2 linked regions of the Alligator mississippiensis genome follow. The protein of the gene in region 1 purifies or fractionates together with the protein of each later gene. This does not show direct contact. Links are inferred from orthologs where the notes say so. Each region holds a gene or a part of one and is shown on either strand. Other genes may lie near its edges. The genes, in order: ZFYVE16 and TOM1.

The links.
Region 2: the proteins of ZFYVE16 (region 1) and TOM1 purify together in Homo sapiens (affinity purification with western blotting; 3 studies listed by BioGRID and IntAct, with this or other methods). This does not show direct contact. The link is inferred for Alligator mississippiensis from reciprocal best matches to the Homo sapiens genes ZFYVE16 and TOM1.

Annotation. Positions count from the first base shown.
Region 1 is NC_081826.1:251,064,373-251,079,778, forward strand, and holds the start of ZFYVE16 (zinc finger FYVE domain-containing protein 16), read right to left. Parts: upstream 6,279-15,406; 5' UTR 6,176-6,278; intron 1-6,175. Other genes in the region: CCDC125 (coiled-coil domain-containing protein 125), read right to left, coding at 14,150-14,515, 14,663-14,796.
Region 2 is NC_081827.1:101,666,734-101,681,455, forward strand, and holds the start of TOM1 (target of Myb1 membrane trafficking protein), read right to left. Parts: upstream 5,910-14,722; 5' UTR 5,852-5,909; coding exon 5,800-5,851; intron 1-5,799. Other genes in the region: HMGXB4 (HMG domain-containing protein 4), read right to left, coding at 11,264-11,308, 13,551-13,673, 14,547-14,716.

The sequences.
Region 1 (15,406 bases):
TGGTCTGGCCCATTATGACACTTACATTCTTATACCATCAATAACTATGCTCCCACTTCAGAAAAACGACCTTAAAAAGTTTATTGGCTGAAATCTTGGAAGTTACGCAAAAGCAAAAGATGAAATGCCTACTAATAGTAAAAAAAAACCCACTTCTTCCACAGCTTATGGGTCAATTACAAGAACAGTACTCTGTGAAAGTTTGTTTTTAAAAGATCAGTCCACAATGGGAAGTGTGCTCAGTCAAGCATAAGTACAGAGGAGCAGTTAGCTGCATTAGACTGAAGTCAGGCAGAAGACGGGACAAGAGTAGCACCTTACAGATTTTACTGGATCACTGAGGTATAAGGTTCCTGAAGATCAAGACTGCCTTCTATGAAACCTTATAACTCTCTGAGCCACTTATGTCTCTAATATACTATCTGCCCCAAATTCAGTCAAGCAGTTACAGCAGGCAGCTCTGAAAACCACTGAACTCATGCTTAATGAGAAGCAAGGATCTGTAAAAGAGACAGCTTTAAATTCCCAGCAGTGGGGTGCAGTACACCACTTGGCTATGATATAACATCTGCATTTGCCCAAGGCCCAATACAACAAGGCCCTGATCCTGGACCCCAACATATCAACAGTTAACAATCAGATAATGCTTTGCCATCAGCTGTTTTTTCTGCCTGGATGTATAGCAAAGTGTAACTTCAAGAAGTGGATAAATACACATAAATCTTGCTCACAATGACTTAGCGCTTAGTTGTCTTTAGCTAGCAATTAACCAGAGAGAAGCAAGTATTTTACTGAGAAGAAAGGGGGTAGGGGTGGGAAACTGACCCCAAGGATTTCTGTGCAATTGTTATCAAGAGCTTTCTTTCAGTTATCAATCCATTAAATTTTGTAAATGGGAGTGCCCAGCATAGGCAAATGAACAAGAAGAATGCTGCTCGTTAATGTGTTACAGGAAAACTTACTACAAGTGTGTATCACCTTTCCAAGTCATCATTTGATCTACTTTAAAACAAACCTATCATAAAACTTTAGACTGTCTCAAAGTTTTTACATAATTTATTAATTTAGAACTGGCTCTTCGTTTACTAACTTACTCAAGTGTTTTTGTAGCAAAGAAAAAAAAATCATCAAGCAACATTTAATTTCAAAGTCAGCTAGTACTATACAATGACCAGGAAGTAAGTGAAGATACAATAGTTTGTACAAAGTATTTCATAGAAAAAAGTTTAAGTTGGCCTTTAGATGGTATAAATCACTTAACAGAGTTTAGCACAATTTGAAAAGATGATCAAGTGACTTTTTCCCTTCAACCAAGATAAGAATCAAAAAAAGCTCAAAAAGTAGAAAGTTGTAGTGTGTACAATAAAGTGAGCCTCAGTCAAGTCATGTGACAAAGCTAAGCATCAAGAAACTCCTCCTGAAACAAGATTTTACATTTCAAAAAACAAAAAGGCTGTATAAAGAAATAAAAGCAAACATTTTGCTAAAGTTCAAGCTTTCGTTTGAGGAAACATTATCAGCATGTACTGTGCATACAGGACTGCAGCCACCATTTATATGCTATAAATTGTCCTATACGTTAATTTGAAAGAGCTACAGCAACTTTAAGTTCTAAATGATTTTATTTTTTGAAGTAGATGGGCAGAGGTAGCAATCCAGAGTTTCGAGAAGAGCCTTTCAAGGATTCCATAGCATATCCAGGATTTGAGCCATGTTTTCAAAAGTGCTTTGGCAAGCAGGAAAAAATATCTGGTGTTGTCTGCAGTATATTGCATGGAAAACGCATGTGTCCATACCCCAACCACAGCATACCATTACTACCGACACGACTTCAAACAACACAACAAAGAGAACTCCAACTGTAAAGTTGTATCTGAGATAAAGGCCAGTCATCCTTGCTTGGCCCACTTATTTTACCAGAAAAATTTTCTGAGGTGTAAGGACATATTAAACAGGTTTCCTTCACTCCCAGTAGTTTAGACTTTTCACAGGATTAGGGTACCAAGAGAGCCATGCAATGGGGAAGAAGTCCTGATCCTCAAGGGAAACTTACACAACACTTCCCAGAGACGAGCCTATGAGCTCCATTTCATCAACCTGCTGGATACTAGAGATCATGGACTAAAACATGGACATTGGATTTTTGATACATTATAATCTGCCTGGCAACTGACACCCCAGCCCAGTCCCTGGCTTCTTTACTTGTCATTCCATCCATGAAGAGCACACACCAACTGCTGAAACTTCCTTAGCCTGACGAAGGGTTTTTGAACCCGAAAGCTTGCTTAATAACTATTCTCCAACTATTTGGGTTGGTCTAATAAAAGATATCAAATTCACCCAAGGAACCTTGTCTGCCTATGTCCTTAGACCAACACAGCTACAACCTAAACCCCTGCAACATGGAAGATATTGAATTCAGCCGTCTGAAATGGAAACTGTACAACATGAAAAAGAAAGAAGACAAACTCAACAGCGATATATATTTTCTAAGCCTTTGCAAGAAACACAACTTCATTCCGTGAGGACAAAACATCTACAATCCCCTGACTACTATACACAACTCCAAATATGCTTCACAGCTATGCAAAAGAACTTCAGAGAAAATTAGGAATCATCTACTTCATCTACTCTACTCCAGAAGAGACCAACTCAGGAAGGAAATCACCATATACTACAACAACTTAAAAGACAGAAATCCATGCATGTTCCCTGACAATATACAGTGGATACGAAGAGACTACAAAAAACTTTCTACAGCATTCATCCTACATAAAAAGAAGAAATGGAACAAATTACTCCAAGAACAAGCTCCCCAGCCACAAAACAACCAGAGGAACAACACCAACACCTTACAACATTCCAACCTCAGACTCAATGAAACTGAAAGCAGCAACCCACCCACAAATATTATCAATCTCTCCACACACACGCTTACCAAAATTGAAATATCTGTCCTTTCTAAAGGCCTAAATTTCTGTCCAGAAAAATACCCTAATAAAATACTTCAATGTGGAGAACTAGAATTCTTCCGACACCTGCGACTCAAAGAATATTTCCACAACCAAACTGAACCCACTCCCAACAACAACTCATCCTCTGACAACATTCAGGAAAGGATCAATGTCAAAAAGCCCCAAAAAAACATCAGATTGGAAACCTCGCAGTGGACGAAACCCTAACCTTGACCGCTACATTGACTGCTTCAGGGAAAGAATGAACAATGAAATAATCAGCAACACACGTCACCACAACAACCTCTCTCTACCAGAGAAAAAGGCCATAGAATCTCTAAGATCTAACCACCAAATAGTAATAAAACCAGCAGATAAAGGAGGAGCCATAGTCATCCTAAACTGTGAGGATTACATAAAGGAAGCCAACAGACAGCTCTCTGACACCACTTAGTACAAAGAACTACAAGAAGATCCTACTCCCCTTTTCACCAAAAAACTCAACAATACCATCAGATCATTTCCATCAAGACTACAAGAAAAACTACAGACCTTGATCCCCCCACTACCTAACCCGGGGACTTTTTACATGCTCCCTAAAATCCACAAACAAGGGAACCCTGGCAGACCTATCATATCCAACCATGGGACCTTAACTGAGGAAATATTAGGTTTCGTTGAATCAATCCTAAAACCGCCCGTCACCCACAGAGTAAGCTTTGTACAAGACACTACAGACTTTCTACGGAAACTTAAAAACATAGGCCACCTTCCCAGCAACACACTCCTAGCCACCATGGACGTTACCAGCCTATATACCAACATCTTACACCAGGATGGCATCCAAGCCTGCCTTACATATCTACAGGAACAAGATTACAACTCAGAATACAGACCCAAAGATATTACTGACCTTATACACTTCATCCTCACACACAATAATTTCACTTTTAATAATCAACACTTCCTTCAGATGATGGGAACAGCTATGGGCACTAAAATGGCCCCACAGTATGCCAACCTTTTTATGAGCCACCTGGAAGAAGACTTCCTCAAGAACTGCACCATCAAACCCTTGCTATACTTAAGATGCATCAATGACATCTTCATCATTTGGACTGAAAACCTGCAATCTCCGATTGAGTTCCCTCAGAAATTCAACAATTACCATCCCTCCATCCGACTTTCTTTAGAATACTCCAGCACCAACATCTCCTTTTTAGACACAATGATCAGTATCCAGAAGGGTAAAATACAGACCACAGTATACAAGAAACCCACAGACCAACATACATATCTGCAAAGAACCAGCAATCACCCTAAACGCACCAAAAAAGCTGTGATATACAGCCAAGCCCTCAGATACCACCGCATTTGCACTGAAGAGAACACCCGGGATTGCCACCTCACCAATCTTAAAAAGGCTTTCACCCAGCAAGGACACTCCTCCAGAGAGGTAGATCGCACGTTTGAAAGAGCCACCTGGATACCATGTGAAGAACGGCTGCAGTACAGAAGAAACCCCCCCCCAAATCGCACACCACTGCTTATGACATATCACCCCTCCCTTGAACCTGTATGGAAAATCCTCAAACAACTGCAACCCATACTAGACAGAGACCCTATTCTTAAAAAGATCTTCCCAGAGCCACCCATCCTAGCCTTCAAACAAGCACTGAGCCTCGCCAACCTCATCACCAGAAGCAAACTTCCTCAAGCCCAGAACACACCAAAAGGATCCAGACTGTGCCATGATAGGAAATGCAAAACCTGCCAACACATCTCCACCACCCCCACTATTACTACACCCCACAACAGAGCCATCAGCATCCCTGCATCTTACAGCTGCACCTCCAGAAATGTAATATACCTCATCCAATGCACCCAGTGCCCTGATGGAAAATATGTAGGAGAGACCAAACAACAACTCCACACCAGAAGGAACGCACACCGGAAATCTATCAAAGACGGAAATACCCAATTACCGGTGGGGGCACATTTCTCACAGGAGGGCCACTCTCTCTCCAATCTCTCAGTCCTGATCCTCAAGGGAAACTTACACAACACTTCCCAGAGACGAGCCTATGAGCTCCATTTCATCAACCTCCTGGGTACTAGAGATCATGGACTAAATATAGACATTGGATTTTTGATACATTACAATCTGCCTGGCAACTGACTCCCCAGCCCAGCCCCTGGCTTCTTTACTTGTCATTTCATCCAGGAAGAGCACACACCAACTGCTGGAACTTCCTTAGCCTGACAAAGGGTTTTTGAACCCGAAAGCTTGCTTAATAACTATTCTCCAACTATTTGGGTTGGTCTAATAAAAGATATCAAATTCACCCAAGGAACCTTGTCTGAATGACAGATGATGGGTTTTCAATGCTACCATTCCAGGGCAACAGTGGCACAGCTGCACCATCAATAGCCAGCCCAGCATGCACAGAATCCATCTGACGGACAGAACAATTAAGCCTTTTAGACCTCACTCTCATATTCCTCTTTGCATCAGTCTGTATTACTCAGCCTTGGAAAACAAGTCACAGGAGAACGATTACTTAAACAATTTTGAGAGCTAACCGACTCCTTATGCTAGGGCAGACAAGCATTTCCTTGCAATTGCAGGGGCCCATCTCTCACGATCTGCAGGAGGATGGAGTCCCATCTTACCAGATTCACACTAGAAAACTTGCAAGCGACCCAAGCCTCGGGGCAACGGTAACACGCTGTCCAAGCCCTGTTCAGCTGCAGTAACTGCTCTTCCAGAAGAAGGTGCTGGCGAGTGGCATCTTGGCACTAGCTCCAAGGCAGGGCACCCCAGGGAAGGCCTTCCTATGCTCATTGCCAAGGGACTCCTGCAGAGGATGCAGGGCACCAAACAAGCTCACAAGAGCTCAGGCAGGGGGAGCAGAGCCCAGCTCTTCGCCTGCTGCACTTGAAGGAGCAAACTGAGATGGAGCCCACGCCCACACCCACCCAGGTCGACAACAGGCATCGCCCAGGGCCCCAGGGACGACCCAGCCCCTCTCTGCAGGGCCCCCCCAGGCTAAGCCCCGTCACCGCTAGGTCCCTCCTGCCCTCCCGCGGCCCCCTCTAGGGGCGAGACACGGCCGGAGCGCAGGGACGGTCGCCCGCCCAGGAGGCGAGGAGCCCGGGGCCCCGCGAAGGCGGCCGGCAGCACCCACGGCCCCGTGCCAGAAGCAGCCGAGCCTTCCTACCTCTGCTCCGCTCAGCCCGACGCGGCTCGCAAGGCCTAGCCTGGCTCGGCCCGGCCGGTTGTTTGCGTTCCCGGGGCTGGGGGGGGGGCGGGGCGCGAGAGCGGGGCGGAGCTCCCCGCACGCATGCGTCGTCCCGACGCTCCTCGGCAGACAGGGACCTCTCGACTGCTCAGCCGTGGCAGCCCCGAGACGGGAGGGGGCGGGGCGTGAGGCGGGCTCCTCCCCCAGCCGCCCTCGGGCCCGGAGGGGTGGGTGCGCTGCTCTCACTGCGGGGCGGGGCGGGGCGCGGCGCCGCTGGCGCCGCCTTAGGTCGCAGCTCAGGGGCTCCGGCCGCGGCTCCAAACGTTCGTGTCGTACCGGCGGCAACACGCGCGGGCTGGGGCTTGCCCCTGCCCCTCCAGGCGGGCTGACGCCTTACTGACTGGGCATTTTCCACCCCCTGCGCTGAAGTGACATCTTAAGCCCCCTCTCTACGTCTTGCATGCATGATGCAATTAAGTGGCTCATTCAACAAAGCAATTATCAAGCCATCAAAAGTTATAAAGTTACAGCTGGAAAATATGCAATACAGGCAGTCCTCGGACTTAAGGACACAATGGGATCCTGAAACGTGCACGTTAACTCAAACCTTGCAACTGGGAACCTTTTTTTCCATAGGAAACAATATTATGGATGAGTAACACAGCTACATTAATGTATTTATATTGTAAATAGGAATCCTAGTGATTTGGAAGGACTGGGTTGAGGTGACTTTGCTGGACTTTTTGAAGGGCTCTTGGCTGGAGCCTCCTCAGGAGTCTTGGCTGCTTTCTTAAAGAAAGTGTCCAAGGAAGTTTGGACAGAAGTCTTCCAGGGACACGGGTGACACCGCAAACTTGTTCGTTGGTGTGGCATCGCATCAGATCAAGCATTGTGAAGTTGAAACTGATGTCAGAAAGTTGAAACAAGTGTCAATTTATAAATGTTGTAAGTGCGAAACATTGTAACAAAACATAAGTTGAGGTCTGCCTGTACATTTATAGCTGGTTACTACATGGTTTAATTTGCACGTCAGGGTCTGAGGCTGCGAGTCTCATCAGCTGACAGGGCAGCCCTCAGCTGCCTAGTGTAGTGGTTCTCAATCTTTTTTGTACCAAGACCCCTTTGCAAACATGGGTGGCCAGTCCCAACTTTGTGCCCTCACTTCCTACCCGCTGCCCCAACCCCCCAGTGTGTAGGGCTGGGGGCCCCTACGCAGCCCCTCACACCCTGAAGTTCTGCCAGCCTGCAAGGGGAAACCCACAGTTTCCCCATGTTTTTCTCCTTTAAAGGAGAATCCATTTTAAAAGCTTGTTTGCTACCCTTTCATATATTACTATGACCCAGTTTGGGGTCATGACCCATGGGTTGAGAAACACTGACCAAGGGCACCAGGTGCCGCACAGATGGGAGTCCTGCCATGACCTGAGCCCTGACTGAGCACGACTGCACCAGCATTAAGGCGATAGGATCCAATGCTGGACCCCACAATCACACTTCCTGCCGCACCCAATTTAGAATAATGGCAAGAAAAAAAGATGAAACTAAAACAAAAACATGTGCAAGAGGGACAGCATCACAAGGGAAGAGTAGAATGAACAGCATAGCAGGAGGCATGATTGTGTGCATTGCACATCAGAACCTATCATGCCTTGACCTGAACAACAAGGGGCCCTTAGATCAGCATACTTATGTTTTTATAGCACTTCTTACGACCAAAGCAAAACTCCCGATTTCAGCTGTAGCTGGAAAAGCAGTCTCAGGGGGGACCAGAAGGGTTTAGGGGAGACCTTGTTTCCCCTAGCGCCCCCCAGGATAACAAGGAATCTATGAATAACGGCCACAAGTTGTTGGAGAGTAGGTTTAGATTAGACATCCGTAAGAACTACTTCCCAGTTAGGGTGGCTAGGATCTGGAACCAACTTCCAAGGGAAGTGGTGCTGGCTCCTACCCTGGGGGTCTTTAAGAAGTGGCTTGATGTCTACCTGGCTGGGGTCAATTGAGCCCAGTTTTCCTCCTGCCCAGGCAGGGGGTCAGACCTGAAGATCTACAAGGTCCCTTCCAACCCTACTTCCATGATTCTAGCAATCACTTCTCAGAGTCTCAAGATAGGCAGCTACAAAAAGTTAAAAAAAAAAATTTGCGGATAGTCCCTTTCCCCACTTTGCTCGTCCAGTTAGAGGCAGTTTCCCATAAATTTACCATAACAGACAGAGGACAGAGACAGTCTACCATGCTGGTTTTAAATCAAAGAACAGGGGCATCCCTCCTAATGATTCAGTTAAAAAATGACACTAAAAATCATCATCTTACAAGCTTGTTACAACATGAGCATATTTTCTTATTTTTAAAGCCCTTTAGGTAGGAACTGAGCTAGTCATAGAATCATGGAATAAAATTAGGGTTGGAAGGGACCTCAGGAGGTCATCTAGTCCAACCCCCTGCTCAAAGCAGGACCAGCCCCAACTGTATCTTCCTAGCCAATTCTTTGTCTACCTGGGCTGGGATGATCTAGTTGAGGATGGCCCTTCTTTGGGCCATCCACAGGGAGCTGGATTAGATGAGGTTCCTTCCAACTCCAGTTTTCTCTGATTCTATGATTAGCTCAGTTTCTTCAAGAATAAGAAAATATGCTCACATCATTAAAAGAAATTGAATGCCATCCGGTTGCAGCCTATGCTCTTGTGGAGCCTAAATCTGTACATTTAGAATGAATTTGTTCCGAGATCTTCTTTACAATGATCCAAGGCCAGAGCTACACTTGCACAACTAACAATGTCATTATGATTTATGGTATACTTTTATATCAGCATACAACTTTGAAGAGAGATTTTTAAAAAGAAAAAAGCAAGCTCCAAGAGGCAGGGATTGTACAATTTCAAGGGACAGAGAACAAGAAAGAAGACAAGATCATAGAGGCTTGTGAGAAAGACACCAATAAGCATACAGAATTAAATCTTGGAAAGGCTTATTGCCATAGAAACCAAATCAAACACACCAAACAGAAATAACTGTATTTTAAATTGTGCTGTCTTGAATATTGTTATTTCCTTTCAAATTAGATTTATAAAACCATCATATCACAGATCAATCTCAGGCTAAATAGGGTGATCCCTACCCCAAGAAGCTTCCGACTTGGAATATGGCAAGAAAAGAGATGGAATTAAACAAAGAGATGTACAAGAGGGACAGAAGCACAAGGGAAGAATAGAATTAATACATCCAAAGTATACACCAGTCTCCAGATTCAATGAAGGAAAAAGCTAGGGATGCACTGATAAAAGATTTTCTTGGCCAATGAGCCAGGAGAACAGCCAGGCACCGTGAAGAGCAGCTCCCTGCAGGTAAGTCTGTGGAGGGAAAGGAGTGTAGGGGAGGGAAGGGGTCTGGTGGGGGGAGATTGAGACCCCCACAATGAGGAAGGGAGTGGGGTAGAGACAAGGGCTGGGGGTGCCCATCCAGGGTGGTGAATGGGACCTGGGGCCTGGGTGGGGGAGTGGGACAAAGCAGCAGGCAGCTTGTCCAGGGGATCAGCGTCTGGGTGCTTAAAAATGGCAGTGGGGACACTTGAACTAAAGCTTGTCAAATGAGCTTTAGTTCAAGCGCTGCCACTACCATTTTTTAAGTGTGGCGACTTTTTAGGAGCAGAGCAGATCCAAGCGGGGCAAGGGCAGAGGCGGGTTGCCTACTGTGGGCTTGAGGCTCTCCACCCTGCTGCCTTTGGCCCAGAAGCCACGCAGGAGGTCTCCTGCCCACCTGGCAGCAAGAGGGACAACTCACCGCCACCACTGCTGCCAGATGGACAGGGGACACGTAGCCAGCGCACGGCTCCCAAGACAAAGGTAGCAGGGTAGAGAGCCCCAAGTCTGCAGTGGGCAACCCACCTCCAACCCATGCACAAATCCAGGGGGGCACATGCCCCCCATGCCTCCCTTGGGGGCTACGCACAGTGGCACGGAACTGTCCCTCTCTCTCACCCTCCGTGCCCTCTGGACAAATATTATTTCCTTAAATATTATTTCCTTTCAAATTAAATATTATTTCCTTTCAAAAGCTGTGCCCGCCCACAGCTCCATCCTGCTCCCTACCCTGGTTCCAGGGTCCCAATTCACTGCCCTGACTGGGTAGTGCCCCCAGCCCCTGCCCCACTCCCTCTGTCATCATGGGGGCCTCGATCTGCCCCTCCATCCCACGTGCCCCCACAGACTTGCCTGCAGGGTGCTGCTCTCCACACTGCCTAGCTGCACTCCTGGCCACATACATGCTGTGGCTGCGCACATGCATGTGGCATCTGGGAGACCTGGCCAGAAGGCATATTAGATTTAATTGGTGACGTTATAGACCACACTGGCCAAAAAAAGCTGATAGTTGATAAAGTTAAAGACACCAAAAATGAACAAAGCTGCTCCCTTTTTGAGGCTGGCATGCCTCCTTCCATTGTTACATCATACATTAGAGCAGATGGTGTTTGAATGGTAAGAATTCCCATTGCTGTCCATTCATTCCATCACGAGCAAGACTGACATCAGTACCATATGCAATAGCTTCTTCCATGTTGTCCATTTAAGATTATCATACTCAGAGATCAAAATAGATATATCTTTTTTGTTTTTTACTTTATAGTAGTTTTCAGCTAAGCCTTGGAAAAGAAGATGCATGTACATTCCCTTCCTTCCACTATTCCCTTAATTAAGCAAAGGGAAAGGTTGAACAGTACTGGTTTTATACCTTTAAATATACTACCCCAAGGAAAGCCACAGGTACAAATGAGGTTTCTTTTTCTACACTTATTGCCACAGCTATATTCATGACATGCTGAACTTCATTTGCAAACCTCACATCTGCTCCTTCAATAAATAAGCTTGAACATACTGACATTTCCCCCCCTCAGATAAATGGCAGGACTCCATGTATTCTGGTGTCATGGCCACATAATTTGCTGGAAAATCCAATCTGTTATTTGGAATTACAACCCAGCAGTTAAACATCCATTAAAAATAGTCTTTACCATGAAGATAATCTTCCAAACAGGGTCTAAATGTAAACCAATACCTGTTGCTAAGAGCCTACCCATCATCAATGTCTCCAATTTACCTCAAGGGAATATTAATCCAGAAACAGCATTTATTATCAGATATACTAAGGAAGCTGCAACTTGGAAGTAGAGCTCAAGTAATTTTGCCTTTGAGAACTATTTCCTGAGAGGGGAGGATCAAAACCTACTGTTCAAAGTTTTGTATAACTAATGGACTGTCATTAGCAGATTGTTCTTATTTATTATGGATGCATATTATGAATACATGCTAATGATGGATGCATGTATTCCTGGAACCATTTTTAGGAACACATTAGTTGGAGGGAAGGGGCAGTCAGAGAACATAATCTGACAGTACAGAATCAAAAGTTGGGGAAAGTGGGTGCAAAAAATTTGAGTTGATAAACTGGCCATTCAAAAAAAGACAAAAAAAATGAACAAAGCTCAAAATAAAACTTAAAACATTTTATAACCCCGCTTTAGGAGGTACTGAGCAACTCAATCTTCCACTGATGTCCACATAATACCTTTGAAATGTAGGCCACTACTGTGCAAGGACACTCTCTCACACATGCATATATTGCTCATCCTGCTACAACAGTAGCAGTCTGGTTTAACAAAGAATTTCATTTTCAAAACTAAAAATAAGATTTTTTTTTTTGTAAAGTTCACAATTATATGTAATAACCATTAAGATGCTGAAACAAATACAAAAAGCTAAGAAAGATGGATGCTGCCTTCCACGTTTTGACTAGCAACAATATGAAGTTGAGAAGAAATAATTTCACCAGACTGATCTAACAAGAAATTGTATAATTTAAGATGCTTGTGTCATGGGAATCTGTTCTTAAGAATTACCAAAGTTTACTGGAATTTATTATAGAACTGGAATAAAAGAGCTGCTTAGCATAGTCACAGATACATAAAACTGTATTGCCAAATAGGATTTCACAAGTCTGGAAATATACGTAGTCTAACAGAAATAAACATTTTAAATAATTCAAGTTCAATTTATAAAAAATATCAATAGTACCTTGGTTTCAAACAAGCTTCTGACCAGAGATTTGGTTAGCTGTGTTAGTCTGAAGTCAGGCAGGGGACACCTTAAAGAGTAACTAGTTCAGAAAGGCATGAACTTTCATGGGCACCAACCTAGTTCATCAGATGCTAACCTGATGACTGGCAAGAAGTTTCTGATTAAGCTCTATTATTTGTTGCTTGTAAGGTGGTAGTACCCAGAGCTCCTAATCAAAGTGTAGGACCATGCTGTACCACTGACTTTGAGGGGAATAGGATAGGGTCCAGCAACATCATCTCATTTGTGACGAAATTCAGTGTCTCTAAAACAATGTTTAACAGCACGAGCCAACAATAGTACACGCACAGGTGTCTTGCACAGGTATGTTAACTTTTCTAAGGGGCTGCAATAAACTATTAAGTATGTTTCACTAAAAGAGAACCTTAAGCATGTTTTGGACTTAACAGATATTAAGTTGGTCCCCAGCTATACTACCCCATTGTGCTTGAATTTGGTCAGGTTCTTAATATAGTTAGGCCTAAATCACACTTCTAATTAACAGCAGAATTCTTAAGACTTCAAGGAAACACATTTGGTTTTCACACTGGTCTTCCAGCACCATTAAATACTAATCCTGAGCTTCCCTTTAGCAGAAACTACTATTCATTCCATATTTCCATTGCTTAGACACACAAAATCTAAAAAGTTACTTGGTTCTCTTTAATAGTCGCTGTGTGCCATATACATCCTCAGTTGCATCAGAATAGGTCTGGATACAAAGGACTGAATACTAGTCAGTAAATAAACAGTTCTGCAAATTTTTCTGGTTTTCCAACTTTTTAACTAGTCAAGTATTAATCCGTAAGTAAAACACTATGAATAGCAGTAATTGTTAAACAAATGATTCTGCCACGTTGCCTGGAATTCAACAAGTTATATATTGAAATAGAGGTTTTTATGTGACTAACATGATCCAAATGCATCAAGGATTCATAACATCCAAAGGCATTATAAATATACTAAATATTAGGAGTAAACAATTAAATGTTTTCGGGTTTTTTCAGTCAATGAGAAAAATCAGTTGGGAATTGGAAGGTTATTTTCCAGGAAGTCTAATTTTAAAGCAGCTTTTAGACTGTGTGTAAACAGTTCCTGTTTAACTATAGGCTCAGGAAATTAATCTCTCATAATGTAAATATGTGTTTAACTCACTCATAATACAACACAATCTCTGAAACTACAAAGCTATATACTGGAATTTCAAATCTGAAAACCTCTTTCCAGAGGAGCTGTGTTGTACATATAGTATTCTGAAATACATGTACTATTATAGTTCATTAACTGACATTAGCAGCTATAACACGATGTGGCTCTTGATTTTCCACACATTTTGGAGTCACTGTTGGACCAGGATTTTGGCAACACAAATGCACAAAATCAGTTGACTCTTGGGATTTTCTAGTTCTGTATTGACAATATAGACATTTTGATTCTTTCCCAATCCTGATATAACTTCTTAGCATATATAACACGCGATTAAGAATGAAAAAGGGTAAAAACAACAACTTCCATTAATTCATAGACCAAGTGTGCCATAAATGTCTGATCCTGACCTTTCATTTTAACAGGGACAGAGGCCACAAACAATCTATAGCGTTATACAGTATGAAAACAGCATCAGAAGAGCTTTAAAACTTTAAAGCAGCATACTTCTTTAACCTGAGCATTGAAATAATTGCATATATGTAGCTTATAAAACAGATTTTCCTGGGATTTTGATTACAAATGTAACATTTACATGTTTGGCACTTCCTGGATAACATCCAGCTTCTGCAGGTTTCCTTATCCCTTGGCATTACCAAACATTTTTCTTTTACTTTTACTTTTTAAATTCCAAGTGTATTTAAGATGTAGAGTCGACATCTGTAGTTCTACCCATTTTGTGTGCATCATTTTCTTTACAACACATGGTCCCAGGGGGCCAGGAATATGATTTTCTAAGTGATTTCAATGAATTTTTAAATACTTTTGTATTGTAAGTTGAGCAAGTGCTGTTCTGAGAACCGGGATTTTGGCAACAAGAATTTGCACAATGAGATGATTCTTGGGATTCTGTGGTGCTGTATTGACAGTTCTTCTGAGTTATGCTCTCTCCTGAAAGATTATTTTCTTTACTTTGCTTTGAAGTTTCCTCTTTTAATTCCATTGCACGGGCCAGCATGTAACTAACCTTCCTCTGATGAGCCAAAGCTTCCTCTTTATCATTCAGCTATGTGAAAATTTAAAAAAGAAAAATGAAAACAAGTTTATAAATTAAGAACAAAACACTGCATGTATATCAACAGTATTTACATTCATTTAAGGAGAGCAATGCCAAGGCCCAATATGCCCCTTGAATGCTCTTCATGATACTAACCAAATCTACTAACACCCGAAGTGCTTCATGAGGATTATGCAATTCTTCTATTTTCCTACAGTCTGCATCAGAAATGAGCATGCCTGCTAATTTTTGTCCCAGACTTTTCTTGTTCCCTTGTGAAGTGATGTGTCCTAAGGAAAAGAGTAAATTTCACCTGAAATTCATGAATGTGAACACTATTTGTTTGTTTTTTTATAAGAAGATAAAAAAAGGCTGAATTTAGGTTTATAGACATACTCTAAAGCAAAATATTGCACCTTTTCATAGATAAAGTGCAACTCAAATTATCATTTCCTTTACTGGATGCAATAATGCAGTTTTACCTACAAGGATGCCTTGGCCCACACTAATGATACAACAGTCTTCCAATTGTAAACATGGGTGAATAAAATGGAAAATGTATAACTGCATGAAAACACACAGTTTCATAGATGTCATATTGAATGAAATAGTTTGAATGTTTGTAAAGGTTGCTCATTAGCCAGTTTCAGGAAGAAGATAAGATTTATCTCCTTATCTAAGTCATTGTTTTGGGACTACGTGCAAAAGGTCCACTCTTTGTTTAAAGTCTTAATTTAAATTTTATCTTTAGAAGCCTTTTACAAAGAGAGCAAATATCCTGAATTCCGAGAGATCAAACCCTAAGGCCTTTTGACCAGATTGGTAAGAAAAGGGCATTTGCAGTGATATGGAAGTTTCCTAAAGGTAATTTAAAATGCTCAACGAAGGCAAAAGAATCTG
Region 2 (14,722 bases), on another chromosome or scaffold:
ATTAATAAGAGAAGCTGGAGTCCTTCCTGAGAAAGGAAATCCTCCTCTTTACCCTTCAGTTGGAGCTTCGGGGAAAAACAAAGTCTACTTATTGGTCACGTGATGGATCAGTATGCCAGGCCCTGCTTCAGAAGCTGTAATTAGCACATGAGCTGTCCACAGCTCATGCAACATGATCCCCGGGAGCCCAGCCACTGAGCACAACAGCAGCAAGTTTTTAAAAACAGGAGTTGCAAGAGCTGGAATGCAACTGGCCACTGATTATTTCTCACGTAGGGGTCACTGGTGCACACAAACCTGACAGGCTGCTGAACACGGTGAGCTGACAGCATGTCTGCCCTGCAGAAACTTCAGCACCGCTTTATTTTGGCAGCAAGCCCGTGTCCCGGGTGTGGCAATGTTGGGGTTCATCTTACGCTACCAAACGCTGTGAAGCTGGATTGCTTTACAGGCCAGTCAGGTTAGTCCAGATGTCTAAGGCTCTGGCATGCTCCCAACTTGTCCTCTTTAGTCTTTCTACATCAAACGGCAGTCGGTGCCAAGGATGATGTTAACAAAGAATATTCCTTTCAGCTGGAGTTTGGAATGATCCTACTTAATCTGGCTAAGTTATCAAAGCCAGTCCTGTTCTAAAGCTTGGGAGCTAATGCCAGACCTGGGATGAGTGGTACAATGGAGTTGACCCAGTTCATACTATGATAGAATCTGACCTTTCTTCCTTTCCCAGCCTATTGTCTCATCTCCATAGTTGGGGAGGGCTTGTTGACGGATTTATGATGCCATCCAGCCAATCCTGTGGCATACAGTAAAGGTGGCAGGGAAATTGAGGAACTTGAGATAGAAGGCACCAAGCACCCTCTGTGACATCTGCCTCGCCTCCTCACTTTACCCCCACAAAATAAAACCAACCCTGTTTGACACTTATCTTGCTGGGATCCTTTGACCACAGCTGACTTCCTGCCCCTGGGGCAGGGGGCTGGACCCGATGATCTTCCGAGGTCCCTTCCAGCCCTACCGTCTACGAAATCTATGAAATCTGTTCGCATCCCCCTCCAGCCAGTCAGCCTCCAGGAACTTCTCATCTCAGAAACCGTCGGTTAGCAGGTTAGAGTCTACTACCTCCTCCTTACACTTTATCCTGTGATCTAGTCCACGCCCTCTGCCAGCATTCCCTATAGTGCTTTATCCTTGCCAGTTTTGAACAGCTTTGCAAAGTAGCAAGGGCACACTATTCCCGCATGCTTTCCTCTGAGTTTGGAGTGAGCTGCTTTTCATGGAATCACGACTTTGGAGATCCACGAGAAAGCAGCACCAGAGACACAGCACCCGAATCCAAGTTCTTCCCACCTTCTTTTGTACCTTGCAGTCCCTGCCCACACCCTCTCCTCTGGTGGCGGACTGTGGGAGAGGACACACAGGCACAGGCAGGACTCCACAGTTCAGACGTGAGCTGCATAATGGGAAAGGTTTCCATTTTACAGAAAGGGTTGAGGACACAATGCAAGGCTGAGCATCCACAGACACGTTGCTTGAATACAGCAGAGATTTGTCCCTTGCATTTCTGCCTATGGTCTCCTCCCATCAGGCAGTGTAGCTTTTTAGGAAGCACATGTCTCCTCAGACAGCTCCTGCTCTCTGACCTCTCTCCTCAGGGGGTGCGCGTGGAGGTGCGGTCATAAAGGAACTGTTAACACTTATCTCAGCAGCATCAGCATTGAAGTGTCAAGGAGGAAGGGGCAGCTCTCTGCTTCTTCAGCCTTCCCACTCCTGAAACTCCAATCCCACAGAGCCAGGATGAAGGGACTATGAGGTGGTGGGTTAGGGAAATAGTGCATCATCTTCCCTTTTTTCCTTATATTCCTTGCAGGGGCTTAGGCATGTTTTATTTTTATTGGCTCCCTTCTGCACACCACAGCAGTGGGCCCCAAAGCTTCTCTGGCCATTGCCATCCCCTTTCCCTTAGTTTTCCCTGAAAAACAGACTCTTCTCTGCTTCCTCACTTCTATCCCTATTCTCCTTATCCTCTCCATTATCAATAGCAGACCTTTCCTACCCCACCCTCTGCACGGATGTGGTAATTTTCTCTAAGCTCCAAGTGTCAGGGCCCAGGGCTGGACAGTATCAATGATTCCCTACCCCTTACTCTCAGGCTTCTGGGACTTGCAACCCATGGAAAGCTTCCTTCCTTGTATTAATGTGTTTCTCCACAGTAGGATTTCTTGTAGTTATTAGACAGAAGGCAGGGCAGGGTGGCACCTTAGAGACTAACTCGCCTATGGGTGCCAACCAACTTTGTCCAAGAACTACATAGCGTTTGATGGAGAGCCCAGAAATCCTCTCTGACATACAGAAAATCCATACAGTTTATAGTCTGAGTGTTTTTTCTGGGGATTTGGACGTTCTTTTCCTGGGCAAACTTTCATTAGAAAAAAAAAAAAGTTCTAACCAGGTTGACTGGGAAAAGCCTGTGGGATATTACAAGACAGAGGTTGATCCTGTGATTAAATTATAAGATCAGAAGACAAGAGAATCCAGCTCTCAGCAACCAACTCACTCGGAGACACAGGGCAAATCATTAAGTTTCCCATCACCCCTGTTTCTCTGATTGCAAAATAAAGAGGACACTACTATTTTCTGACTTCAAATTTCCTACCTCAAGGGGGACTTGGAACAAAATCTGGAAAGCTGATAAATATTTTCAGATGCAGGCACCCCATGCATGCAAACCATTTGTGTTATAAACTAAAAAATATCTTTCTTCTCAAGGTGTTTTATAACTTTGTAAATCATGGAGACACATTGACACACTTCATTCATGTTGCCCTTTAGGAAATTGCATGATTAGCCTTCAGAGGCTGCAGACAGCCTGAAACCGTGGCTTTAAATTGGTCAAGACTTTGGGGCTCCACTGTGGAGTTGGGGTCTGTATCCAGAGCACTGATCTGCCATGAGACTCTGGGGAAGCCACTCTCTGTGCCTTGGGTCCACTCATCTGTCAGGTGAGGTTAATAATATTTATTCTTGTCACAAGAATTTTGCTAGGCAGAACTCCAAAGAGGGAAAGCACTCCCATGAATGGTTCCTTGCTGTATCCCCATCACTTCTGATAACTCACAACCAGGTGCAGCCCACCTTCTTCCTTACTGTCTACGAGGCTTCCACTCTTGTGGGCTCTCATAACCCTTCTTCTCCATCTGACGCATGCAAGGCACTGCCAACACTGGGCTCTCCTCTCCGATTCTTCCGTTACCAGCCCTGACTACTCTGACCTCTTCCCCTTTGTTGCTGGCGGTCAGCTGCAAACCGTTTTTTCCATCATGAGCAGAGAGAAGCTGCTTACAATCTGGGTACTCTTCTGATCAAAATATCTAGGGGTAGGGAAGGGAGTGGAAACCACCAGCATCTAGAAGCGAGTAAAAAAAGCAAACCAGACCAAATTCCATTCACTCCAGGAAGCAACGGCCATTTACACTAGAAGCATCTGTGAGAACGCTCCTCCACTAAACAGAGCCTGTCTGCATGGATGAAACAAATACAAAAATAAAAATCACACACACCTTTTCATCCCTGAAGGAACATGCCCTTATACGATTAAGCCAAACTGATCCTTTCCCCCCACATTAATGGGTTGCAAGCTGCATGCCCAGCTGCTGCCCATCCTCCCAGTGTCCAGCACTGCTCTATTAATATAGCTTGTGTCATTCTTTGGTCTCTTTGAAATGAGTCGCACTCACAAAAAAATGAATGTGGGGGCAGGGAGAACAACACTTTTGAGGTGTAAAAACATGACAACTGCCTGGGTGCTCAACACTAGCAATATGAGTGCATGCCTGGGGACATGTGCACAGTTCCAAATATGCTTCACAGCACAGACTTCTCCCCCACTGGGAGAGGATGAGACCAAACCTATGACTAATGTTAGTCATGTTGCTACTAGATGGCATTCAGATATTACAGTAATGAGGTCTGAGTAAGAAGCTGATTAGGACAGAACGTCATGGCAAGGCAGGACTAGGAAGCCCACTGGAAACTTTTGGTTGGTTAGGAAGATGGGTAACAGAGGGTTTTGGTCACTGGGGAAAGCCGAGAAGAGAAGAGAAGAGAAGAGAAGAGAAGAGAAGAGAAGAGAGAAAAGGGCTGGTGGGGAACAGCTGTAAAGGAGGAATGTACACAAATGCTCTATGGGGAAAGGAACACAGGTGGTCCATGTGTACAGGAGAGGCTGCCGGTCGACGATTTCTGTGATGAACATGCACTCTGCTTGTCGTTGGTTCAGTTATCCAGTGGCTTCAGACAGTCAATGTCTGCAAGAGGCAATCTGACCCAAAACACTGTGGAACAGAAAGGCTGAGAGAGAGAGAGAGGACCAGCAATCAAGGCAGCTGTCAGAAAGACAAAGTCTCTGAAAACCTAATTCCTATTTCACACACACACACACGATATGTAGAAAGACCATACATAGAGAACCATAGGAGAAAATAGTACCTAACCCCTTTTAAAACTTCCTGGGAGCACCCCGCTCCCTGCCCCGTCTCTCCTACCCTTTTTTGTATTTCAGCTCCAAAACAATTTTCCATTCTTGTCTACAGTTTCTTTGTGCCCCTTCTCTTTAGAGCAGTACCTCCCCGCTCTTCTCTCAGGTTAAATGACTAATATGACGACAGGGAACGTTGTTCTCTAAAGTTGTGCAAGGTCTCGGATTAGGCCCAATCATGCTCCCTCCACGTTTTTGGGCTTAACTGGTAGCTCTGACTCCCTGCCTTACTACAGCCTTCATGGGGCAGGGGATAATGAGGGGTCATCTTCCTAAAAAAACCCAACATGGTGGTAAATCCACCCTGCAATAAAACAAACCCCCAATCCTGCAAAAAGCTGAGGCAGGTGCCTAGCGCTGGTAGCAGAAATCAATCCTGGCCAGAAGCTGTGCAGCGCAGGGCCATGGCATCTGCATTATAACGCTGATCTGTGCCAAACCGATGACACGACGGACACATGTCCAGTCTGGCCCGATTTCCCTGGGTTTTGCAGAAGCTTCCCTGCCTAAGGGGTAACTCTGTGAGGAGCTGCTGGAGGCAGGGGGCACTAGCAGGGGAGACAGCGCTCTGGGGAAGGGTTTCTGTTGCCAGGGCTGGGGGGATACATGGCACTGCTCCAATGCCAGGCAATGGATACGCCACCCACCTCTGCGCCCAGCAGCTGGTTCTGGATCTGCAAGAAGCCAATGCCTTGGGGGTAGCCTAAAACCTAGAAGCAAGAGTGCAGGGCCCTGCTCCATACTGAGAGCGAGGTGCAGCCTGCACCCAAGGGTACCCACCCCACCTCCCTTCCTCCAGGGACACCCCATGCCTCCCCAGCCAATCAGGGAGCAGCTTCTGGCCAAAGAAAGCCAGGGGGAGGGACGGATGTCAAGCAGGCAATTACTGCCCCGCCTGCCCGCAGGGGGCGGGGCTCAGGTCGCGGCACCTTTAATGCGGGAAACTTTCTCCGCCGCCCGCGACCCCCTCGCGTAGGGATTAGCTGGGAGGGCGGCCGCCACGGTTCCACGTCTCTGGCCCCTCCCTATTGGTGGCAGAGCGCCGTCAATCAAAGCACCGTCACTTCCCCATTGGCTGAAGTCGCGTCAACCCCGCCTTAAAGAGGGAGTAAGTCCCACCCCACTCCCCCTACCACGCACCTACTCGGCGGCTAGCGCGGTCACTTTCTGGGGGAGGGGGCGGGGTCGGGGTCGGGCCGGCTAGTGGACGAGTCCAAATGTCAAGGACGTCGTGGGGGGGGGGGGGGCTTGGGGGCCACACTCACCGATGCGCTGCCCCACGGGGGAGCTGAACGGGTTTCCCAGGAGAAACTCCATCGCGGCCGCCGCGCACCTCGGCAGTCAGCTGACCGCCAGCGCCCGTCACGTGAGCGTCGCGGGGTGGAGCTGAGGGCCCGGCCACCTGTGACGTCAGCGGCGGCCGCTTGTGATTGGCTGGAGGGCGAGACCCCGGTTGAGTACGTTCTCCGCTCGCCTTAAGCGGAGTGGTGACGCCACTGCGCCTGCCGTGACGTCACAGGCGCGTGGCACTTCCCGGCTCCCTGTATGGACAGGGAGGGGCCTGATGGGGCGGGGGAGGGGGGACATTTCCTTACGCTCTGCAGGCTCCCTTAGTGGGCCTGGCAACAGATGGCAGCCTGCAGGGGGCGGCCCTGACTGGCTAGCCCAGAGGGCTGGGGGGCATGGTGAGCACCCAATCTCAGGGGGTGCATATGCACCCCTACGCATCCTGCATGGCTAAAAGTGTTCAAAATGTATTTATTTGCACATATCTAGTTGGCCTAATAAAAGATACCACCTCTTCCACGAGTTTTGATTCCTTTTGCCTCTAGACCAATAGGGCTACGACTGGGATACCTGACAAAATGTGCAATAGCTTTTGATGCAGTTAATTGATGCAGCATCTATAAAACGCAAGTCACTCTCCGGTAGGGTTGCCAACCCTCCAGGATTGCTCTGGAGTCCCCAGGAATTGGACACGAATCTCCAGGAGACTGCTGAGAGTCACCCAGGAGATAAATGATAGGGCATTCGTTAAAGTGTTGAATCCAATTTATACAGTGGGATTTTAAAATGTACTAGTCATGTGCATTTGCCTTCCTGATGTAAAATCTACACACTGTAATCCATAACTGACATACACAAGCATGCGGGCAAATGCGTGTTGTGTTGTGGGCATGTTGGTGTTCCAAAAGCCTCCCAGAATAGATCCAAACTGTTGGCAACCCTGCTCTCAGGGAATCTTAACCAACTTCTGGGTTCATGCTCAGCAATTGCTTATGCCTGCTTGCCTCAAAACTTCAATTTTGATGACCCAGTTCTCACTCACTGGGGACTTCCAGTGAGCAATATGAAGTAACTGCAGAACAATTTACAATACATAGACCTGAAACACAAAACAGAGAGAAAAGACTAATCATAGCAATCAATTCAGTTTAACCAGTTGGAGAAAGAGTTAAACAAAATGTCATAGTGTCAAGTGCAGTGCAGGATGCAATGATACCAGTATAAGGCAGGAGTGGGCAAAATGCGGCCCGGGAGCCAGATGTGGCCTGCCAGGCCATTCTATCCAACCCGTGGGGCCCCTAAAAAATTTAGAAAATTAATATTAATCTGCCCTAGGCTGCCTGTCATGCAGCCCTCGATTGCCTGCCAAAACTCAGTAAGTGGCCCTCTGCCCAAAATAACCGCTTGCCCCTGGTATAAGGCAACATGATGTTACTTAGTTGTATACTTAAATTTTTTCAGTGTATGACAGTTTTTCTGAAAATACAATCATTTTGAGCTTCCAATACAATATTTTCATATTTAAGACCTGGTAACACTGTTCCCAGGAGACAGATGGCAGAGAGAAGTAAAGCTGAAAAGGATCTTAAGAGATCATCTAGTCTAGCAGTTTGCAACCCCCAGCACGTGCCAGAGCACAGCACGCAAAGCCATTTTGTTCAGCTGGCCCCAGCTCTGGGCAGGCCTCTACTGTGGAGCCCAAGCTGCTTGCAGAGTCTGGTCCTTGAGCCACAGAGTCAACTACAGTCAGCGCAGGCCTTTCAGCAGCTGAGAGGAGGCTGCAGGCTAGGATTCCTCTCCTCCTTTTCCTTCCCCCACTCCCTCTCTTCCATCGAAACAGACTAGTGCTTGGTTGAGGCTGAGGAGTCAGTTGACAGTCAGCTCCAGTTGACAGTCAGCTGGGGCTCTTGATGTCAGCATCTATTTGCTTAGGGTGTGCCTTCAATGTGTCATCATAGCCTTTTCTCTGGCCACTGGGAAATCTCAGGCAAGAGAGGATATGGCCTTTACACCCCTTCCCACCATGGCCCACATTATTGGTAGTACCATCCCCCACCACCACACCTCCTTAGCAGTACCAGTTGTCACCTCTACTTGCGAATCCTTGGCAGGAAGGGACCAGGGACAAAAAAAACCCTCTCTCTCTAGCAATTCTTCCATAGGAGAAATACTGCAAGTTGCAACAACACCAGTAAGAACTTCCAGAAAATGTGCCCCTTGCTGTAATGTTGCACATGTAATAGGTCTGTTAAGAGCACCAAGGCCATTACCAAGTACCAATCCTCATTTTGACAAAGCTGCCTACTCCAAATGGCAAAGTCCAATTCCACATTGCTTCCATTTGTGCAGATTGTGTTAGCTCACGCTGCAGCCTCTGTAAGATGGACTGAACACTGGTTCTTCTGCCTCTGTGATTAGCCTGGCTTGTTAGCTCTGTTGTGGTCACAATAGTGGGGATAGGGACAGCTGAAAAAGCAATGGAAAAGCTACCATTTTTGCAATGGCGACTGCACTAGCAAGCCTAAGACCCCCACTTCCATGGTTTCAAATAAGCTGATACCATGTCTAAGTAGTAAACAAGCATGTTGCATGAGGTGAGCCTGAAATGGGGCCTGAAAGTCTGTAGTCCTTACAATGAAGAATTCCAGGAAAACTACTGCTTAAATGTGTTGAAATGGTTGTGGGTAGGTGTTTCCTGGTTATAACGTTATTTTCCTTTGAACTTGTGTTGAAATGTCTCCTTACAAAAAGTGCAACTTGAGTTGGTGAGGAATCACATTTTGCATGATCATCATATATTGGGACATTGCTACACAGAAGTTTTGAGCCTATAACTGAGTCTCTCTGCTCTTGAAAATAGGGTGTTTTGAAAGAGTATTACAAGATGTGATCCTGCCATTGCTGAGGGATCCTGAAACACTTGTATCATTTTGCCTGCCATTCACTGAATGGTAAACAAGGAGAGGGGCAGGCAGATAACCTGGTACTAGGGCATTTAAGTGACAACCCTCTGTAGTCATGCAGGTCTTTTACTGAGGCTGCTAAATGGTACAACTCAGTAATCTCCAAGTTGTATTTCAAGCAGCCTTTCATTAGAAATAAGACACTGAAGTACCCAGCCAAGAACCACAGGATGGGTCTAGATTTCAAATACCAGAGACATTTCATTCCATAAAACGAAATGCTAGGACAGCTAGAGTAGTGAGGGAAGTGACAACCAGCAAATTACAAATACCAAGCAAAAAAATAAATGACACAAAACTCCAAATGTTAAAAAAAATTATATTGTAAGTACAGTACAAAAAGTTTCTTTATACAATTGTAATGCAATCTGGATCAAATGGCAGGAAAATAACAAAAATATAAAAACTGCTAGTTCTCAGTCCAAAGTTTTTCCCTCTAGTACCAAATACCACAAGATACAGATTATACAAATGTGTACAAATTTTAAATAAAAATACAATACATTAGGGTTGTGTGTGTGTTTCTAAACTCTTCAAGAGTTTACTGTTATACAGATGGTAAAGCTAAAGCTGATCCCCTTCTGTTCCTTAGATAGAGATCTGCAAATCTTTTTCTTTGATACAATACTCCATCTCTTGTGGAGAGCTGGAAATGGAGCCAAGCATTTTATGCCACTTGCAAGAACCATGGTAAATGTCCAGATCCAGAAGCCAGACAGACTTTCCCATATCTCCAAGCTCCCTCAAATTCTGCTTCAAATTAGCCATATCTGGGTGAGAGATTTCTGCCTTATACTGAGGTTCTGAAAGAGTCCTGTTCCATCCACCAAACCAGCCCTTCTGATAGACAAATAAAAGCAACACTGAACTGGGAAAAGGGGAAGCTCTGCAAGAGACAGTAGCTGGGAAGGAAACTGGCAGGAAGCCCCTTCCAGGCACCTGAAGATTGGCTTTAAAATGAAATAGATTTAGGTCTCAGCAATAATGAGGAACAGCTCATTTTCAGCTGCCCTGGAAAAGAGAGAAAGCACAATTTGTAACAGCACAGAAGTGCTCTGATTCTGCTACTTTAACATCTGTAATGTTATAATGGAGGGCGAGGCCAAAGCCAAAATAAAAGGCTTCCCATTTCAGCTTCCACCCAACATCACTGGACACCCTGTTGGCCACAAGGGCTCAAAGTTTTGTTGGCTGCTATTCCCCCTTGCAGAGCCTAGCTTTGCCATAACAGATGCAGCTTATTCCTGCAGGAACTAGGGATGGGCACAGCTGATTCATATTTTCCACACACTTGGTGGAGGGAAGGACTTTTGTTTTTAAATTATATCTATATACACAGAAATATACAGGATAAATTAAAATCTATTACAGATATTGGTAAAAGTTAAATACACAATATGGACACCACGCACACATACACACAAGCCTATGTGAGAATCAAGTGCTTTCCTGCAACTCACATTGGAGGAGCAGGAGCTTGGAATGCCAACATGTGGCTGTGGGGAGCAGGGATCTGTCCAATGAACCCATCTGTGCCAAACCCAGCAATAACTCCTTCAATCTTTAGCATTAATTACTTCCTCTGGAGAATACAGCAGCACCAAGAGGATTCCATGCCTCTTCATAATACTGCTGGTGAAAGGGATGGGATCAGCAATCTTAGAAACTAAAAGTTTTCTACTCATAAAACCAGTACACGGACAGGGGCAGTGCAAGCTTTTTCCTCCTCTAACTGCTTCTTCCTTGCCAGAGTGGGCTAGCCCTCCTCTGGAGGAATTCAAGGGAGGTTCAATCTTCCATAATCCCAAATTCAATCTTTGGCCCTCTGCTGAGGATGCAATCTTGAGCTAATGGCAATGTAGATGCATGCCCACTGGAAGAGTCCAGACTCCTTGCCATCTCCAGGACTACTTTAATGCAAGCTACCAGCCAATTGACAAGAAAAACTTTCAGTCACTTGTGACTGGCTTGGGGGGATGGGAAAGAAGAGTGGAGAGGAGAGGTGACCAGAGGTGGTAACCTCAGGATTTCAACAGGCATCCTGTTTTCTCTCACAGACTGAAAAAGTGTTAGAAACAGGGCTGGTGATGTGTCAAGTGCTACTGCTTGGTCCAAAATAAACTAGCTTGTCTATCCATCATGGATAAACAGTCAGTTCCCAGGCCAATTCCAAATAAAAGGTTTCTTTGAATTTAAGGCTGATATATCAAAAGCTTTCTGACGTCTAATCACACAAACGCCTTTAGATTGGAGAATGCATTGAGCAGGTCACTCCCACCAAATTGGAAAGGATTCTCTCAGCTTATACTTCACAACTTTTCATAAAATTAATAAAAGTAAAATAGTTACAATCCTATGTATATACTATACAAATATAAAACTTTAAAACCCTACACACGGAGCCCTTAGAGTGCCGGTATAACGTGTATGTACACAGGTCAGTTACACAGAGGTGTGTACATCCCAGGGTCCTCTTCTGTCAAAGTCCAGGCATGATGTAGGCGATGTTGTCGAGTGTGTTTGACTGGGAAGAGAACATGTAATATTCTTTTTAAAAATGGGCTCTGACTCAAAAAGCTACAGAAACAAGGCTTTAATATAACACAATAGACTGGAGAAATCCCCGCCTTGTCATACAAGCTCCTACATGACGAGACCAACCCAAGTCAGAAGTCACCAGCACTCTAGGCCAGGGGTTCCCAACCCCCGGGTCGCAACCTGGTGCTGGGCCATGAAGGGTCGGCTGCCAGTCTGCAGGTGGGCTGGCTGCCAGACTGGAAGTGACTACAGACCAGCAAACTGCCGACTGGACATGACCTGCATACTGTGGCCTGGCAGCCAACCCTTTTTTATACTGTATTCAGTACAGTATTCAGTATAAAAAAGGGTTGGCTGCCTGCCTGCAGTATGCTGGTCACTTATGGTTCACAGTTTGCTGGTCCTCAGCATAAAAAGGTTGGGAACCCCTGCTCTAGGCTAACCAGCAGCCATGGAAATACTCTGTCTACTGCTCAGTCTGCTTGCAATCTCAATGCCTGGGAGCACAACAGGGGCATCTAGAATTAAGGGAACACTTCCTGTTGTTCTTAACTGCCTCTCTTACCCTATGTAACTGGTCCTAGAACTAGTGTGAAGAAACTCAGAAGAAATCCATATCCAAACCATATTATCCAGAGGGAAAACAGCGATAAGGGATCCAATTAAGGTGATGGAAGGGATACCAACGAAGTCCCAAACGCACATACAAAACCTTTGCTAGAATTTGCAATGTGTTAAGCTAAACAGAACAAGTAAACCACCATAATCCGTTTCAGATGTAAGGTGGGAGAGAGAGTTTCTCTGTGTTCCTAGAGTTTCCATACAAATCAGGTGGAAGTTTGAAGGACAATACAGTCCCCTGTGCCTCAGTGAAGACCATACAACTAAGGTCTGATTCCTGGTGTGCTGCACTCCCAAAGTTCATACTCAAAGACAGAGGAAATGGATTCTTTGCCAGTTTCTTGATTGATCCTACAATTTAGCAGCACCACCTATTAACTGAAAAGGTAAACTGCACCACAAGCACAGACACATCTAGCCTGCTTTGGGGACAAGAGAGTTACAGATGTAGATGAATTCTTGATATTAAAATTAGTCTGCTAATATCAGAGAAGTTCTCCAAGCTCCAGAAGTGAAAAATTAGCACTACCTCATCTAACACTCCCTAACTCTTTACAGAAATAAGAGGATCAAGCTGTCAAGTCATACACTGCATTAATGATGCTAGAAGGGTGTCAGAGCTCATAATGCTTTGGGCAAGGGAAAGCAGTACAAGAAAAAATGCCCAGTAGTAAAGTAGTCATAACTTGAGCAGGCAGGAGTACTCAGGTGACTCAGTTTATTAGAAGATATGCCAATAGCCAGCATGGGACTTCATGGCAGAACCTTTGTAAAACATGCCTGTTCATGTCACATCCACTGCTTTCTTCACATTTGTATTGCTATTCTTTTCTCTTGAATCAGACATGATTTCCCTTTGCTTTGTTCTACACATTTTGCTTCTTGTGACTTCATTTTTCATTCTTCTTTCAGTCCTCCTTTTTATTCATGTCTCCTCCTAATGTGGTCTTTTAAATCGCCCTGTCTGCTAATGTAATATGTTCTGTTTTTTCACTTGGATTCACACTATACCGGAGCTGCAGGATGTCTGTTCCCAAATGAGGGTTCAATAGCAAATGTGTTTCCGGCATGCAGGAGAGAACATGCAGCTAGCACCCGGCTATAGATGGACAAGAAAAGGTTTATCTTTGAAGGTGTTCAGTGCCACCCCTCACTGTTAGGAGCCATGTGCTTAATTGCAGTCACATGAACAATGCACACATGACCAAAAAAATTTAACAGGTGGGTGTATAGACCAGCTGTAGGGCCTGTAAATTCTTATTGCAAACTTGCATTAAAATGTCTAGTATGCATAGTTGCTTTATCTGCTTGAGATTGAGAGTTTCAGTCACTCAGAAATAGAAGCTACAGCTACTGTAATAAATGGATTAAAAAAAGACCAGCTTCCCTTGAATGGTTAGCATTTCCACAGCTTTCACTGAAAACTCATTAGGCAATGCCTTCTCAGAGAATTCTCTCATACATCCCACCCACAATAATAGTGCCCTAGCATGAAGTTTTCTGCACTGGAGACTCAGTGTCACAAAGCTCTGCCAATCAGAATTTTAACTCTCTTCCCATAAAAATAAGTAAGTCTAGAACCAAAATAAGAATCACATGGAACTCACCAAAACTTGCTTGGGGCAGCCATTCAGCTCAGGCAGTTGTGTGGTCAAACATGTTAAAGGGCCCAGAGCACAGATAATAGAATCTAAAAGCACTGACAAACTTCCTGAAACAGCCACCATCCCCTGGAAAGAATAAAGGAGGATCAAACTGAATGGAAAAGAACAGCAGAGATTAAATCTCACCACCCCATAACCTCTTCTCTTGCAAATATTAAGGACTTGCTCCTGAACTTCTCTAATCTACCTATTCTATTTGTGTAGTTACTACCTCATGCCAAGCATTTCATACATGTTTTTGAAGTTGTCTTGAAATTGGATACATTTGGATAATTGTTTTCCATCACCTAGTATGGTAATACATATTTAAACCTCAAACAAAACATGAAATGTCCTGGAAAACGCTGTCTCCCTGAACTCAAGGAATTAAGACTGTAGCTAGGGCTGCACTAATGTAAGGGATTTCTGGGTGGAGAATTACTTTTGCGCAGCTTCCTGTGAAAGAAGAGCCTTTGATTGTTAGAACAGAGCGAACAGCTCCCTTGCAGTAAAATCTCAATTGTCATCACTAGAAAAAAAAAAGGAGTTCATGCGCATTTGTTTTATTGGCAATAAAAGCATGTGGTATGCAGGACCGTGGGATGAGAGGATACTGCCACCTATTCAGCCCACTGAAGCTTTGAAACACAGAAGACTACATGTTAAAAAAGGCAATGAGAAAGATAACGTTGTCTGAACATGTCCTTAGAAAGCTGAAGGTGTTTGGCCTGAGTGCTGGCAGCAATAGCTTGGGTCTGCCAGCAACGAAAGTGTTACCAGATGTTTGGTGCCTGCTGGGTTCCAGGAAAAAGAACTTACTATATCCTTTGTTAATAAACAGGGACACAACAAAGAAACAGCTGACTCCATCTGTAATTTCTTTATACTAGAAGAACTTTGGCTAACTTGGGCTAACATGGGACACCTCTCCCCTGCTTCTATAATGGCACCTGTACTCACCTCTGTCTCCTGCAGCCTGTGTCCAATGAGGCTCAGAGATTCACCCAGCAATTGTAGATGTGCAGCTACATCAATGGGTTCCGTCTCAGGGACTTTGGCTGGTGAAGAGGATAATACCACAGTACTGGAGGGCGACTTCTTATGGGGTGAAAGTACTCCTGTCGGAGAAGCTGAAA